Linked DNA regions of Drosophila melanogaster. The protein of the gene in region 4 interacts with the protein of the main gene of each other region in a pairwise test. Each region holds a gene or a part of one and is shown on either strand. Other genes may lie near its edges.

Region 1 (3,523 bases), on a different chromosome or scaffold from region 4:
TGAACCGCTTCAGCAATTGTATTGTCAAAACATTGGTCTGCCTATACTTAAAAAGTAACAACGCTTATTCGTTAAATAAGATACGTTCTTATAGCATATAGAAAAGTGGAAACTCACATCTTTTCTCATGGTGAGGACCACCACTACGTTGGTCTAAGCCATTTATAATATTAGAACATGTGAATTTCATTTTAGCTATATAAGCTTGAACAATGAAATAAAAATGCAGTTTGAAATATCAACTCAACGAATGCAGACATATGCTTAGTTTGCAGCCTCTTTAAAAGTATGCTTTTAAAAATAGTTTCTGAACCCAACGTAAAAATTTGGAAAAGAACTGAATATGGCTCTTAATTCCTAAATGCAAAAATAGTAATAATAATAAAGAAACTCATTTACAAACTTTTTATCAACTTTTGCATGTTTAAGTTTTGTCCTTAGGATTTTTAATATCCTTCTGAAAATATTTGTTATGCCCCAAATTCTCCCTTTATTTGAATTTTATTTTTGACGTAATTATATATTTTAATTGTAATTTTCTTTTTGACGTAATTATATACCTAAAAAACTTTTCAAGTAATCTTGTTTCCAGGCAAAAGATTGAGCTTATGATCAATCCGCTGTCGCCAGATCTTCAAGACTAACATTTATGGAGATAAGGAAATCCATTTGAATTGAGAAAAGAGAATTGCTAATAGCACTATGAGAATTAATTTAAAATTGGCAAATGGGGACTTAAGGAAGCAGATTTTTCTACTACTAACGAATTTGTTGGCATTCTATACTATTGCGAGGTCGCGTGGTTGATAAAAATATTATTTTTGTGTAAACATAATTTAGTAATAATTGTGTTTTTCTTGTTTATATCCCGTGAATAAAGCACTTTGAAGGCATCAATTAAGGAACGTGTTCAAGCTTTTGTAAGCTTGTTTATTCGTTGATTAGAACGCTACAATTTGAAGTGACTAGCTAGTAATGTGACATTAAATTTTTCGGATAACTTTAGTACAATCGCTTGTAGGTCAACAGTAAAACTAACTAAATACTAAACCTATTCCTTGGAGACGGGTTTGCAGGCTATCATGTACACTGGAAAGAGTCCCTTGGGAAAGTTTTGTTGCTTGACCTTGCGTACAATGCGAAATCCGGCTTCCTTTAGGAAGTGTTCATAGCTGTCCAGAGGCCTCGTTACCGACGAGTCGTTCCTATCTTCCACTGTCTTCTTCGAGCTGCTCACGTTCTCCTTCAGACACAAGAAGGCGCCGGGCGCCAGTCCCTGCTTTATGCGTCGAAAGAACGAGACCAGATCGCGGTCCGTGAGATGGCCCAGGACCCACTGGGTCCAAACGAGGTCGTACTGTTGCGTAGGCGTAAACTTCTGCAATCCCACGTTATAGATCTGTCCCACCTTTCCACGGCTTCCGTCTTCCGAAGTGCAGTACTCCCGTGCTTTATCGGCAAACGCGGGATCCTGCTCGACAAGATCCACGCAGCTGAAGCGGGGGATCAGGAGATTCCGAGTCACCCGACCAATGCCAGCTCCGCAGTCGAGGGCCAACCTGTTGCCCGGCACGCGGATCTCGCGCAGGAACACATTCGATCCCTGTATATCTATGGCACTAATGTAGCCCAGGCCGCCGAGCATCCCGTTAACAGTCGCCGGTACCTCAGACCAATATTTTTGTGCCTTATTGTAAAATTCGGACTCCGGTGCGGCGACTTTGGTCGAACTATCGCTCGAAGAAGGGGACGCTGTCTTGGCATCTGAACTTGCGGCTATACTGCTATCATCCTTCTGCTTCGACGACCCCTGGACCTTATCCGTGGTCTCGTCCATCATCTGCAACTTGTCTGAAAGCTGCTCTTCTAATGTAGTCGTCATTTTTGTCAGGATTTCGAAGGCCGCATGCTTTGTTTTGTTTTAGTGCGATAACCAGGGCTCCTAAACACAGTGAGCCATTTAGGTTTTACGAAAGAGTGGCAACCCTTCACCAATCAGCTGTTCAACAAGCAACAAAATTGTCCGTTTGTTTATGTTACTAGTTTTTTGTTTAATTTTTCTATTGTCCGGACAAAATGACTCTCGATTTGGATGCGCATAAGAAAGATGACAAGTTGCTGATCACAACCATACAGCAGGAGTATAAAATTCTGGCCGAATAGTGAGTTTTCAGAGTTCACTGATAACTACGTGGAGTAAAACTAAACTTATTTAATTTCTTATGTTTTAGCAAAATGATTGAGTCGGAGAAGTTGAGTGGGATATATGTGATACCCAGCTATGCTAACTCCTTGCGTTAGTCTACCCACCTGCCAACCTGTATGCAGTCTTTAGCTAATTTTATCTTTTGTTAATAGAGTGGTTTGGAGTCTTCTTTGGCCGACAGGGCTTGTATGCGGAAAGTGTTTTTCGATTCACAATTTTGCTCCCAGATCGTTTTCCCGACGACAAAAGTCTTCCGGTGAGTAGGATCGGCAATAGAGCAAACGTATTTAACTCTACAAGTCCCCTTTAGAGCATAATTTTCCAGCAGGATGTGATTCATCCCCATGTGTGCCCGTACACCCACAGTTTGGACGTGAGCCACGCCTTCCCGGAGTGGCGCTGTGGAGAGGATCACCTTTGGCAGCTTTTAAAGTACCTGCAAGTCATTTTCTCCGATCCCTTGGACAGTATTCGGGGCATTGAGGTAGATAAGCTCAAAAACAGCGAGGCTGCGGAGCTGCTGATGAATAACAAGGAGGAGTATGTTGCTCGCGTACAGGAAAATATCAAGGAGAGCAAGGAGCATATATTTGACACCCCACCCACCGAAGATCCGCACTACATAGTATTCGAGAAGTTCCAGCAGGACGTGCACGGGCCCGTTCTGGAGCGCATCAAGGCCGGAAGAAGCAAGCTGACGGAGCCTTCAGCGCAACAAGCAAATGGTGGACATGCAACTGGTCTGTCATGGGTTAAGGAGGGCGAGTTTAAGCCACTTAGCATTGAGTAAAACCAATATACATATATTCTGTAAGTTATATTCTATCGTTGTCTCAATTTTAAAACGATTAAAGTTATTCAATTATTTACAATCCTCGTTCATGGGAAATCGCTGAGTATTGTTAACCCACTCGTTCTGCAACTCTAAACGTTCTCCGTTCCATTGGAAATGTGTGGGGGAAGCCTCGCCAGCGAGAAACTCAAAGTGCTGGCTGAGCTCGATGGCCAGTTTGGAGCGGACTAGGCCTATTCCGCCCACCTGTGGCGCAGCTGGATGATAGACCCTTCCGTTTCGCGGATCCATGTACAGTTTGTGGGGTTCGTAAGGCAGGGTAAGGACCTGTCCCGCGTGTGCATAGCTGAGCACCTCCGTATCGTCCTTCCTCAGCTGTTCAGTAAACACAACAGGTGTGTCATCGCACCTAATAAAATTCCTTTCGCGGCCACAGAGGGAAATGTATGGAAATTCGCTTTCATATCTGCTCGTTTTGTTTAGCCGCAGTCGGTTGAAAAAGAACTTGAGGAAATCCTTCTCCT
Region 2 (4,467 bases), on a different chromosome or scaffold from region 4:
GCTGACCGGCGTAGAAAGTACCATGTTTATTATTATCGAAGCTGATCTCACACGTAACAACCATTTTTCCCAAGATTAAATGTCCGAGCGCGAAAAAGCTAAAACCGATGTTATGGGGCAACTCACTGCGACTAATTTAAGTACAAAACTTCTGGACTGCTTGCGGTGCGACCGCGTCGTTAGATAAGCGATAAGAACCATAACTTGGACCCGATGTCGGATTCGGATTTCACCGGGAACGATACGGAATCGTAGTCCAAACTGTATAAGAGTCGATAATAAGTTCCCTTGCGAACTACTCGGACGTTCACTTGGGGTTTTCGGTCTGTTATCAGAGTTGGTTGTCGAGACCTTGGCACTGGGGAAGTTATTGCCAGCATTCATCGAGGGGTTTTCAAGAGGAAAGAAAAGCGTCGTGTTTGAAAATCTTAGACTACATATGGTAATATATATATAATTTCGAATAATTTCAAAAATCGCTCCACCCTGTACCAGTCTTGGAATTGTGATAAAATGTTTATTATAAAGTGTTAGGTGGAACTTTTGCCTTGTGTGCAAATGCTTTATCGCCCTTACATTTCTAGTATAGTATTTATTTTCGTTCTCATAGCCACGTTCCCTTGTCTTTGTCCACATCCATGGCCGGATTGACAAAGGCCCTCTCTGCCATATAATTCTGCGTATAATCCGTCGGCGGCGGAGCTGAGGGACTGGGTATGTCGAAGACCGGATAGAGTGGCTTATAAGCACCGCCATCCAAACTGAGAGTATTGGGCGGTACTGGTTCCGGGTCGTCTAAGTCGTCTGACCTCGTTGCAGCCGTGCTGCGCATGTGAACAGCCTCCTGATAGTTGGGCGGAGCTAAAAACACCAACAAAAAACATAAATTGATACTGTAATTAGTTTATGGATTCTAGTAAACTCACGAATGGATGCGTCGACAGACCATGGACTTGAAGAGTTTGGAGCAGTGGCTACTTCTTCAACAGCCAGCTCATTAACATTCAGCTGGGGGACGAAACCCCGAGGCTGGATTGGTACGTGTTGTGCAAGAGGGACACTGCCAATGGTCAGCGGAATGGTGACAACCTCGTTGTTGTGGCAACCCTTCACCCTGGCCTCCACCTCCACTTGGTAGGCGATCTGGATGATGCCGCACAGGTTGAAGCAGGTGGGCGGAGTGGCCGGGACTCTGATCTCATAGCTAAATAGCTTCTTGCAGTTCCTTTGCACAGCGTCCCCCTTGAAGGTGTTTACCACCAACCTCTCGGACGTGGTATTGGGCATCGAAGGTGGCTTACTGTGGTATGTCACCAGCATCACAAAACTAATGAGGAGCTGCTCCACCGGAATGTGGCTATCGTTTGTGACCAGCACGCTAAGGGGAACATTCTGGCCAGGTACAAATCCTGTCTGTGGAACGGTCAGTTGGAGGGCCAACGGATCTGATCGGCAAGGCCAGCAGCAGTAGGTCTTCGAGGTTTCACTGTGGGCGGGTACCTACATAACATATTCAATTAGCTTAGGTTCTAACAGATATGTATTCGTGTTTGATTTTGATTCGTACCCTTAGCAGTGGACTATCGAAGTTCAAGTCCATCACTTTTAGCACCGTAAAGCATCGGGTATAGCTCTGATCGAATTTCCAGGGCCTGACGAGGGTTACGGTTGCCATGTACCGCACCCTGCCGTGTGATCCCTCGAAGGACGAAGGACATTCGGTGGGAATCAGGCACACGAAGTTGTAAGTGTGAATTCCCGCTTCAATGGATACTTGGCCTGCAGATATGATTAGCAATTAGATGGACTTTCTTGCCTAAATGGAGCTTTACGTACTGCTCAGATTGGATCCCACCAAAAATGTTTTGGACGCTATGTAATCCTCGCGGCCGCAGAATGTGCGACGTCTCCTCCTTCTGTTTGTGGTCACCCTTTCAATCCAACGCGTCTCTGCGTATCCGGTTATATTCAAGGTGATGGCTGCGGAGAAGAAGTTGATAAGGTATTTCTTAGAAAGGTATTTTAGCTCAATGTACTGTAACGAATTGAATTTATTCTTTAATTGTTTTTTAAGTCATCTAAACGATGATTATGGTTTTGACAAATTAAAATCTTTTAATCATACAGAATTACTGTTATGCATTCACATGAAATATCCATAAAAACTTACAAAAGCAATCGTTGTATATATGAAAAAGTCAAATATGTATCCACCCCTATTTAATATTAATTAATGCGAAACCCATTGATTATTTAAAAATAATTTAATCTTATCGAACGCAAATATTATCATTGATGCATTTGTGTATGTTCGCCAAACACCTTCATGTAGACATTAGATTTCGCACGTGTGGTTCTCTACTCACTATAAATATATGAGTCACCGGACTAAATCTTCGTTTAAAAACATTCAACCGCACTTTTAAGTTGGACGATAAGATAAGAATGACTCATGGCATATTGTCAAATTCCAAAGGTATCTCAAATCAACTGCCCCTCACCTTTTACCAACTTCATCTTGTCCAGCTTCAACGTAACTCTGCCAGTGAGTACCTCGCCCCCAAAGTAGGTGCCATGGGGATTGTTATCGAAATCAATTTCACAGGTAACAGTCATAATTGTAATTGTAACCGCAATCGTGTATTTATGGGCCGATCCTACTCTGATGCCGCTGCAAACACGACTGATTTGATTTTAATGCCAATGTTCAGTTATTTACTCCCTAAATTCCGAGAACTCCAGACAGAGTGGAAGGAACCGCTTTTCGCGACGATAGCACCCACATGCCCACTTGGCTGCCAGAAATCAACTGAGAATAAAACAAACATTGCGGTTGTTCTATATTGGTAGCGATGGCCAGAAAAACTTTATCTTATCGCTGTCACAATTTTGAATTATACATTTTGCCAAATGCAGTCGAGCAGCAAATAGCCCTCATATCTCCGGAAAAATCCCAAGGACTTCTTGACAAGCAGGCGTGGGATGGGATGTCCAATGGTTCTCAAATGTAGAATAGTTTTTTCGCCCGCCTTCATTTCTTTTCCTCTTTATCCAAAGCCGCTTCCTTGCTCTTTTCTACAGTTGAAGTAGACAAATCGAAGACAGGATACAACGGCTTGTAAGACTTCTCTTGCGCATTTCCCGACTCTGACTGTTTCTCAGAGTCACTATGGGAATGCATGGCCTCGGCGTAGTTCGGTGGCGCTATAAAAATCGTATGGTTACATAATTGATATGGACATATTAAAACAAGGACAGCTTACATAGTGTGGATCCTTCTGACCAGGGATATGGGGGAGCAGCTGGAGCAAAAGCTCCCTCTCCCTCAATCAAAGTCAAAGCTCTTTGTTCTGGAGCCTCTGGCCCAGAGCTCTGCGGCGTATATTGCACCGCTGACGGCGATATCGGAACACCACAAATAGTCACCGGCATTATCAGAGTTCCATTGATATGCATGCCCTTCACCTTGGCCACAACCTCGATCTGGTATCCGATCTTGATAATGCGGCACAGATGGAAACATGAAGGCGGAGTAGAGGGTATCATCAGTTGGAAGTCGTACATTTTCCGGGAGTTCCTCAAAACTCCATCTGCCTTTAACTTGGCCACGGACTTGCGCTCGCACTTGGAACCTGAACTTAGATCACTGTAGTAGGTGATCATCATTGATAGTCCAACCTTCACTTCGTGCACCCGAATTTTGCTTTCGTTACCAATCAGAACATTTGCGGGTACCGTCTGACCAGGCACAAAGCCAGTCTGCGGCAAATTCAGCTCCAGCGTTAGAGGATCCGATCGGAAGGGCCAGACCCCAAAGGTTTTCTCAGTCTTGGCCTGCACGGGAACCTTAAAAGCGATTACATTGTTATAGCAGACCTCCAAAATTTCGTTTCATGTTATATTTACCTGTGAAACAGAGTTATAGGTGTTTATGTCCATCACTTGAATAACGGTGAAAGCTCTTGAGAAAATGCTGTCGTACTTCCACGGCTGAATGATATTGACATCCACCATATAACGTATACGACCATGAGTCCCCTCGAACGATGAGGGACAATTGATTGGAATTGGACAAGCAAAATTGTAGGACCTAGTTCCCGGCTCCAAAGCCATTTCTTTGCGAATACATAAAATGAAATTTTGACCAATTTCAATAACAAATTATCACTCAATATTTTACCAGGGCTAATTTCGGAACCCAAAAGATAAACTTTACTGGAAAGGTATTTCTCAAATCCATTGTACGACTCTGAAGTGGACTTGTTATTCGAATCAGTCTTGCTTTCGGTCCAATGGGTCTCTGCATAACCTTTTAGCTTAAGTCGAATTGCTTAATATGTAAAATGTTGCGAGAATTATATGAAGTATCGCAATCACAACTGAGTACTTACCTTTGATTTGAATCGCCTTATCAGTGCTCAGAGTCACTTGACCAGCAACCATTTGGCCCGCGTAAAAAACCCCTTG
Region 3 (4,896 bases), on a different chromosome or scaffold from region 4:
TGTCGGTTGTGCTCCGTTGGCGATTTCAAATTTCATTGTGAGCGGAGGAGCACTAACCAGATTTGATGCTATGATTCACTTGGTATTGATTCTCGTTCGACGCTAGTTCGAGTTATTTGTCTCTCCGATCGAGTATTGCGTTACCACATGCCAATCGCTGCGGTGCGAAGAGTCCACCTCGGGGTGGACCAAACCCCATTATGAGTGCAGACTCAACTTTTCAATTGACTGATCAAATTTACCTTGCAAACAATTGATATGATAGCGGAACGAGAGAGTTGCACACACTTGGTGGCACTTGGAAAAAGATGGTACTCGAAAGTGCAGATAATTGTCATACAACCATTATGAATAACCAATTATATCATTTTAGCAACAGAATCAACATAATTATTGCTTTGCCTAAGCAACTTTGCTGAACACGTGATGGTAAGGTAACATTATATGTTATTATTATTATTCGGTTATACATGAGCTGCCTGAAATTGAATAGTGAGCAACGCGTTAAGTTATCATGTAGCTGAAAACAAAATTTGTAAATATTATTTTGGGTGCCCTTCTGGCGCGATTCTTTTTGTTTACTATGGTAATTAATACCGCGATACCTAAGACACTCTGGGTATATGTTGCTCGAGATCACATCGTTTTCCTTAGCAAACTTTGCACTACCGTTTGCGTTGCTTCTCCTAGGCCAAAACCAGTTTGCGGCTTTCATTGACAACGCATTGTTGTCCGAGTGCACATACGCGTACAGGCAAGCTTCCCTAGCTTGAACTATCGAAAAATATGAAATACATTTTATTTGGTGGAATGATGAATGACAATGTTCTCTAGCTTTTGGAATTTCCTGATATCTTCCTGTAAAGCGATTCTGTGGACTCAAGATCTTCGACAAACCACTCAAGCTTCAGTTTGGTTCGAGTTATAAAAGCTAGACTGTATAGGTGATTGATGGCTGGGTGCATGGAGTTCCTGTGAGGTGTACCCCCGATGCCGCTTTCAGTTTGAGATGAGTGTTAACTGCAGGAACCCAAACCGGTTGTGAAACGAATCGAACCGAGTGGTTCGGCCCCAAAGCCAATTACGCCACCAAATGGATGAGTACAAAATATTTCTCGGTGCATTGTGCAGCACCATTTGATAACGAAAGCTGGATAGTGAAAACTGTCCCCAGCCCCCTGATTTTGGATCTTTGAATGTTACATAAATCCAAGCGAAGCTCGTAGCCTCCGCACGTACTCGTTAGATTAGCCGCCTTTGATAACGACAGATATGCCATCTCCAGCACGTGTACAGCTCTTTATCTGACAGACATAGAGTGTGTATTAGGTGTACTAGGTTAGTTCGAATGGTATCTCAACAACACAACTGTACATACGAATGATAAAATGAATGATTCGCAGAAAGAGCTCTTTTCACAAAAGCGGTCTGTACAGAATGCGTTAAATATATATGTATAACTTGTAATTACTAGGCCCAAAGATAAAACATTTTAATTCAAATGTCCTTTCTCGAAAGTTTAGTAACATGAACTTTGGAAAGTTGCCGTGCAATTCGACAGGTTTGAGCTTGCACGTCGTTTAAATCCATTAACTTCACAAATTCGTCAAAAAATGTATTTGGCTACTTTTGTGAAACATAGCACACACACTACCTATAACAAACAATTTTAAAGAAAATTGAAAATGGGAACACCTTTAGACTGAATCGCACCTTTGCTTATGAAAACATAAATACAAAGAGGAGTGTCATAATAATGTTATTTAAAAGGTTGTATAGAATCGGAACTAAACAGTAAGCAAAAGAATAACCACTTTTATAAAAACCAACATAAATTCTTTATTGTATGTTTCTGATGGTTCGTTTCCGGTCGATTCATAATTAGCAGTTAGCAAACAATTATAAGAAAAAAAAAAAGGGTGTTGATAGTGGACACCAACAAAATCAAGAATTCCCGAATTAAGAGTATCACTTTAGCAATACATTTAAAGCAAGTCTGCAGGAAGTTTATAGCTTACTGCAGGGTATGCAATGTCGGAACGTCCCCGTCCACTGTTTTGGATCGCAGCTGATACTGCGCGAGAAGGAGAGGGCGAATCGCGAAGAGGAAGAGTTGGCGAATCAAGTGGTCTTATCAGTTTTTAAGTTAAATTAGTTTCGTGACGAAGGTCGCTCTTCGCTATATTTACATATGTACGTATAAACTGCATTATTTTTAAGGAACTTGCCTGATTTCCTTGCTCTTTGCTGATTTGTTGGTTTTTTAATAGTGTTTTATTTTGAGTGACAATCTAGTGATGTTTTTTAAGCTGATAAGTCGATTTTTAGGGGTTTGTGTTTTTCATTAACATTTGCATGGCGACGCGACGCTTGCGCTCTGAATCCACACGAATAAATGTGTATATATGCGTATATATCAGTATATATACGTATGGCCTTGCTCGATTTCGATTTTTGGAGTTTGGAGCGATCTTTTCAATCACAAAGGAAATGCACTTCAAATTAGACTTATTCAGCGAGCGGTTTCTTTGTTGTTGTTGCTAACAAAACTGAAAATAATCAAGTTAAGTTATATGTATATTTTCAGGTACGCACGCACACACACAGAACGCGCTCTCTTTTGCTTGCGCAATACATAAAACACACACACTTACGCACCGCTTTGCACGTTTATTCTGCCTTTTATATTTATTTATTTCTATTAGCAACGCCAGCTTTTTGCACTTGAATATATATGTACGTATATGCATATATTTGTTTTTTTTTTGCCTCACAGCTGTTGGCTTTTCAAATGGCGCCTTTCAGGTGGCCGCTGATCCACAAAAATAAAAGACACGCGGAAAAGCGACGCGTGTCTCCGGCCAAACAACAATAACAACAACCCCTATTTCTTCGCGATTTTAATATGTGCGCAATTGTCCAAAAAACGGCGACGTCACTACCGCTCGCGAAAAGGAAAAGTCGCATGGAACGAATTAAGTTGGGCTAAAATCAAAATAAAACTATTCGCAGAACGGCGCGCAAAAAGAACACCGCTCGCGGGTGACTTGTTTTCAACTGAAAAAGCTGAAGCGATCGCCGGTACAAAAAGCTTAATCTCGTTGGCGCAAAGAGAGCGGGAAAGAGAGGAACTAAGTTAGTTCACCTAACCGCTCTCTTCAACTTCGTGCGTGCGTGTGTGTGTGTATGTTGCCGCGCACCATCAGCTGATACTCGTGCTGCAGGCAGAGTATCAAAAATAAGCTATTAACAGCTATTAAAGGGTATCAGTAGTGTGCTACCTTAATAATAATTAACAGATGTCTTTACGAACTTAGAAATAAATTAAGCAATCGTTTAAGACTCAAGACTAAATTAAGAGCCGGAAGAGAGTGACACATCAGAAACGAAGTTGGACTGAAATGGAAATTTAAATTTGCGCCGTTAGCTTGAAAGCAAGAAGTGTTGTTGTGGATTACAATCAATGCAATTGCATTGTAATCTTCCGAAATGCTTTAAAACCAAAGATTGAATGTCGTAAAATTTCTAGGCTAATAGTACTACCTTTAGCAAGTTCAAGGTTCTAAATGTTTATCTTCCGGCTCAAAGATAATTGAGGTCATCCCTCATAAATTCGCATACATATGTACATATGTATGTATATATGTATCTTCAGTTATGTGCAAAGTTCAAGGCTAAATAGGCAAGCGGAGGCCTTGTAACTAATTAACATTTATACCATAAATCAATCATTTCACCAAACAACAATTTCTTTATTAACCAGGGCATCGATCTCATCGATTGAGCTGATTAGCGCAGTTTGTTTGCATTTTAAATGTTAAATTAAGCACAAACACACACATGTATATCCCTAAAAAACTTTCCTGAATTTACTTTGCCCAGAACCCCAAAAAGATTTTTTCACTTTGCCATTTTGCGATTTATAATGAGTCACGCGACTCCAACCAACGAGTTTGTCTGAATTAATTACTGGACGGCACGTCGATTAGCTTCAAGCCAAAAAGCAGCCCTAATTGAGCCCGACCGCCTTAGAAGCTAAATTTAAATTAGACAAACATATCGCACAAACGTTTATGAGCACCGAACACATACATATGTACATATGAATGTACATACAGTGTACATATGTGTATTTGCAACATAATCAAGCTGAACAACATGGTTTTGGATAATTTATGAATGAACGAACGGATCAACGGGCGACGAGATCAGGGACAATCTTTCAAAGTTCGTATGCCGATTGGATGACATCATCTATGAGTTTTTAAATAAAGTTCAGCCCGAAAAACGATACGGCAATCTATTGCCTTGACCTACCTTATATTTTGAATTATTATATGATCTTATTTCAAAAGGGTTAGAAGGTTGAATCATAATTTTTAAATAGATTAATAGAAGTTATTGATGTTATAAGTTTCATAGCTTTGGATAAGTCCACGTTTGGCAAATACCAACAGTTATATAAAAGCTCCGAAAGTTGAATTTTTAATGAGAATTTATTATTTACCAATTTTTACTATGTGTTAACACTTTGTATCTTATAAATACAGTTTTTGTGCGGATTCGGATTGAAGTCTTATAAATTAGGCGGAGCAGCATAATTCGGTAATGGAAGTCTTAAAATATATTTCTTTACTGTTAAATTACACAAATCGAGCTTTTACCGAATCTTGCGAAATATATAGCTAACTTTTAGGCAAAAACCAAATAACGCTTGCTATCTTATCCACCGTCTTCTGTATCTGTTGTAAAGTCATTTTCAAAAGTCTTTAAACGTTTCTATTGATAAGATAATGAATTTCGACATGCGACTACGAGTAGAAGATAAAATCAAAGATCAGTTAGAGATCATCGCTGTATCAAAATGCGAGCATCCAGAGGAAATGGATTTTCATT
Region 4 (3,935 bases):
TCTCGGATACCTACGTTCAAATACGTTTATAAATTGAAAACCGGCGAGCACTCATTTGCTATTATATTTATGAAACAAGTCTTGTATCAAAAGTCAATAAAAACTTGTATTTTAATCCCAAGATTCTTCTAGTTAAAAATAGAACATCAAGAACATTATTTTGTTATATGTATATGTTTTTGTTCTACAAGATTCCCAAAGCCCGATATTAATTCTCCATATCTCCTCCCCATTTTGTTCCCACAGTCCTTTCTCCAGATTTTTTTCGGGCGTGACTCTGAGGGGGAAACAAACAACAAATAAGAAACAGACGGGGAAAAGTGGCAAATTTTCGAACAAATTTAATTTCCGGCCTTGGGTCAGCTAGATTGGCAAACATCATTTATCATCTTGGGTCAATGGAGCAGGTACAGAAGGAACAGCCACAGACAGGGGAGAATATGGACTTGGCTCTTGTCCATGTTGATTAAACCATTAAACGAGCCACCAATGGCTAGCAACATTTGAATCTATTTGAAAAATTATATTAAAAAAAAAAAACATGCTCGGTGTTCTACGATCTTTATGTAAAATTTTCCCAGAATTCCACCAAAAGCCAAAAAAAGGATAGGGCTGTAAAAAAGGATTTTAGAGGACGCAAAAAAGAGTGAGAGTGCCCACCGCCGCGTGTGGGAAGCGTGTGTTGTCCGCCCAGGTAAATCGTCCTTGACTCCTGGTCATTGCATAAAATTTGCTAAGCAGTGGCCAGGTAGTGCTGGCTGCAGATGACTCAACTGAATGCAACCCGCAGAAACCTCAGATGGTTACTGGGAAAGGGAAACACGGCATAGAGCGTTTTGTCTTTAGCCTTTTGTATTTATTTTAGCGATCCCAGCTCGAGGGTTTTGGTTTCATTTACTGGCAATTTAGTTATTCGTCGGAATCGCTGGGCGTGTTGGTTTTGGTTGACGACTTGGGCTTGCGGCCCTTCCTTATCACCTTGGAGGTGGCCTGCGCCTGGGCCCGAGGCTCAGGGTGATAGGGAGCCACCTCTTGCTTGGAGTCCTCCTGGGGAATCTCTTCGCCATGGCCATCGATGAATCCCGAATGACCCGTCTTACGCTGTGGCGTTTGAGTGACAATCCGTTTGCCCTCGCCCGTCCAGTAAACTCCTTCGATTTCACCCTCGCGAACGTGTTCGATGGCATCGTGGGCATCTTGAGGCTCTCGCGGCTGCCCGGACTCCCGGGGATCCTTAGCATCCGCCGTCTCCTCGCTTTCCAATTCACTGGTTTCTGGCTGCTCGAAATTACCAGACTTGCCATCATCCTGGCTGGCACTCATCCGCAGCCCCCGCACGTCACTTAGCTCCTCGTCAGTGAGATCCTCCATGGAGATCTCCCGAGATCTGGGCACATACGGCTGATCCTCCTCCTCGTCCTGTTGCTCCAGCTCCTGAAAGTCCTGCTCTTGTCCCTCGCGAAGTTCCTGTTTTTCTTGCAGGGTCTCTCGCAACTCCTTCAGCTGCATGGCCAAACGCTTACGAAACTCTTCGTCCTCGTCCGCATTAAAGTACAGGCTTCGATCACCCGCCAATAGCGGTAAGAATCTGGGCGGGACAGGACGACCGCCCAAGAGACTCAATCGGCCATGGATCAAGCGACCCAACAGATCCAGGCAGCGGTTTTTGGGCGCTGGAGCTGCCTCCAACAGTTGCTCCACGTGCAGGCTCTTGTGGTGCATGGATTTCAGGGAGTTAAGCAGGATCAGTGTCCTGGAACAGCTACTCTTGAAAATGGAACGTTGCATTGTAACTCAGTGGGTCCGTACGCCGTTTAATCTGTATGGAATATATATTTTTGTTGAATTTGAAAAGTTGTACGTGTAGTATGTTATTTTTTACCTAATATATATTGTATATTTAAACAGAAAAGGAACGAAAAAAGAGCGGAACGAAAAGTTATTTTCAACGGTGAATTTTATATGAAAATTTTGTGAAGCCTTGACTTTGTTCGAAATTGTAAACTTTTGAGCTCGAATATATTTTGGGTCTTGTCGAGTCGGTGCTCGGAGAACGACTGGGGATCTGGGCGTAGCGTTGTAGGCCCCAAATGTTTGGGCAGCTGACTTTTGAGGCAGCACCTACTGGAATGCCCCGCCTGCTGCTTTTCCGTAATCCCATAAAACAATTGACTTTCTAACCGTTTTCGCAAATAATAATAAAAACGGCATAAAAAGGGAGGAAACCCGGGTATTTTCGGTGGAAAAAAAAACGGGCATTAAAGTGCAGGACGAAAAAGGATTTGCTGGGGTTAGAATTCGCGCGAAATTGCATCTTTTATGGCGCATGGCCAGCGCTAGGGTTACGTGCTATATAATAACCCTAGCCCTAAAACGACTACCTGCCACGCCCCCCGCCCATGGCTAATTATGTCATTTGGCGTAAGTCAAGGCTGCAAAGTCAATTGCGAAAAATGGGTAAAAATCTGACACAAACGAGCAGAAAATTCCATAAAAATGGTTATATAAAAAATCCATATATGGTTAGGGATTAAGGGGTTGGCGGTCTGCAACCGAAATTGTCGTCTGAAAATGATAGATTATATTGATAGAATCACTGAACATAAGCAGCAGATTCACAGCTGGACCAATCGTACCTAAATCATACACGTTAGAAGGTACGATACGAGAGGTGAAAACTTGTTAATAAAACAGGTTGTCGGAAAACTAGAGGTAATCTCCATTTTGATGTGCCTCCATCTCACATTCGGGGCTCATAAAAACACATAGAAAAATGTATTTCCAAGCCGACCTATAACCCCTGCTTGCCCATTTCCCCGCCAACATGTTGTCGTCATTGTCCAGGACAATTTGCCTGCAATATTGCGTTGACAGCCACGAGAAATAATAGCCGAACAATTTATACAATTTATGAGTTTGTGTGCCACATACACATCGGCGGCGGAGGGGTAAAGTAAAGGGGTGCTTTGGGCCTTGGTAAGGGTTACCAAAAAAATGTGTGTAGCATACTTAAGCGGGCGTCGGTGGGTGGTGCTGGATCGAATGGCAGATTGCCCAAAAAGAGAGCGAAATCACAGTCGAAAATCATAAATTCGGCATGTCTAATGACAATTTGCAGCTCCACATGCGGGGTAAAATAAAAGTTGAGAGACCGTTTTTATCGTTTTTGATTTTCTGATGCTGCGCCCTTTTATGTCAACGCATAAAAGTCGTTTGTTGTTTGGTCCAAGGTTTTTAGGGCTCGGGAAAATGGGTTTTCATAGCATGACGACGCCTTACACCGCCGACCAATTCGGAAGTAACGCATATAATATGTTGACCAACTAATAATTCTCTTTAATATAGAACCATCGAAACTTTTGCTTGAGATGCGAAAAGAATCACGAGGTTTTTAGCTGCGAATTAAATACTGTAAGGATACGTAGGCTTTTGAAAGGTGGAGACCATTTAAAATGAGCTTGTCGTAATACAATTATGGCTTAAAAATACCCTGAAATGGTTACTGGCAGCTGCCGGAGGTCCTTCTGGGACATTTATGAGGCCAACGGCTGGTCGATGCCAGACGCATCCGCAGTATAAATCAAACCCGTCCGAGGATCCCTCAAACATCCCATTGAGATCTTATTGTGGACTGGAACTGAGCTGAAACTGAACTGAAACTGCGACAGAAGCTGGTCTGGAGATGAGCCATCCATGTGGCCATAACTCATCCAGCGGAGTTGTTGGCCACCGAAAATGAAGCAATCAGGGCCGAGAAAATGGTAACAGCCCTGGGTAATTGTTGTTTGGCATTTGCTATTTGGCATTGGCCGATGATGTCACCGCACACGGAGAACGAGATGCCGGCATTGTCGTTTCCACTTCCTGGCCAGCCCATTGTCTCCTTCGAGATTTTACGATTGTTTACTGCTGCTTCTGTGCCCTGACTTTTGGCT

The links.
Region 1: the proteins of CG1324 (region 4) and Ntmt interact in a two-hybrid assay, tested with the Drosophila melanogaster proteins (one large-scale study listed by BioGRID).
Region 2: the proteins of CG1324 (region 4) and CG18745 interact in a two-hybrid assay, tested with the Drosophila melanogaster proteins (one large-scale study listed by BioGRID).
Region 3: the proteins of CG1324 (region 4) and CG42674 interact in a two-hybrid assay, tested with the Drosophila melanogaster proteins (one large-scale study listed by BioGRID).

Annotation. Positions count from the first base shown.
Region 1 is NT_033778.4:9,864,063-9,867,585, reverse strand, and holds Ntmt (N-terminal methyltransferase), read right to left. Parts: upstream 1,955-3,523; 5' UTR 1,883-1,954; coding exon 1,052-1,882; 3' UTR 535-1,051; downstream 1-534. Other genes in the region: peo (pendolino), read left to right, coding at 2,077-2,162, 2,232-2,296, 2,359-2,462, 2,517-2,996; CG30010 (uncharacterized protein), read right to left, coding at 3,069-3,523. UniProt on the Drosophila melanogaster protein: Alpha-N-methyltransferase that methylates the N-terminus of target proteins containing the N-terminal motif [Ala/Pro/Ser]-Pro-Lys when the initiator Met is cleaved.
Region 2 is NT_033777.3:7,783,338-7,787,804, forward strand, and holds CG18745 (uncharacterized protein), read right to left. Parts: upstream 2,783-4,467; 5' UTR 2,617-2,782; coding exon 2,502-2,616; intron 1,981-2,501; coding exon 1,837-1,980; intron 1,780-1,836; coding exon 1,568-1,779; intron 1,501-1,567; coding exon 927-1,500; intron 862-926; coding exon 605-861; 3' UTR 506-604; downstream 1-505. Other genes in the region: CG18747 (uncharacterized protein), read right to left, coding at 1-64; CG18748 (uncharacterized protein), read right to left, coding at 3,032-3,204, 3,264-3,846, 3,907-4,115, 4,181-4,330, 4,392-4,467.
Region 3 is NT_037436.4:20,195,254-20,200,149, forward strand, and holds the start of CG42674 (uncharacterized protein), read right to left. Parts: upstream 3,065-4,896; 5' UTR 2,229-3,064; intron 1-2,228. Other genes in the region: CG42833 (uncharacterized protein), read left to right, coding at 4,865-4,896.
Region 4 is NC_004354.4:20,733,912-20,737,846, forward strand, and holds CG1324 (uncharacterized protein), read right to left. Parts: upstream 2,050-3,935; 5' UTR 1,883-2,049; intron 1,820-1,882; 5' UTR 1,789-1,819; coding exon 910-1,788; 3' UTR 544-909; downstream 1-543.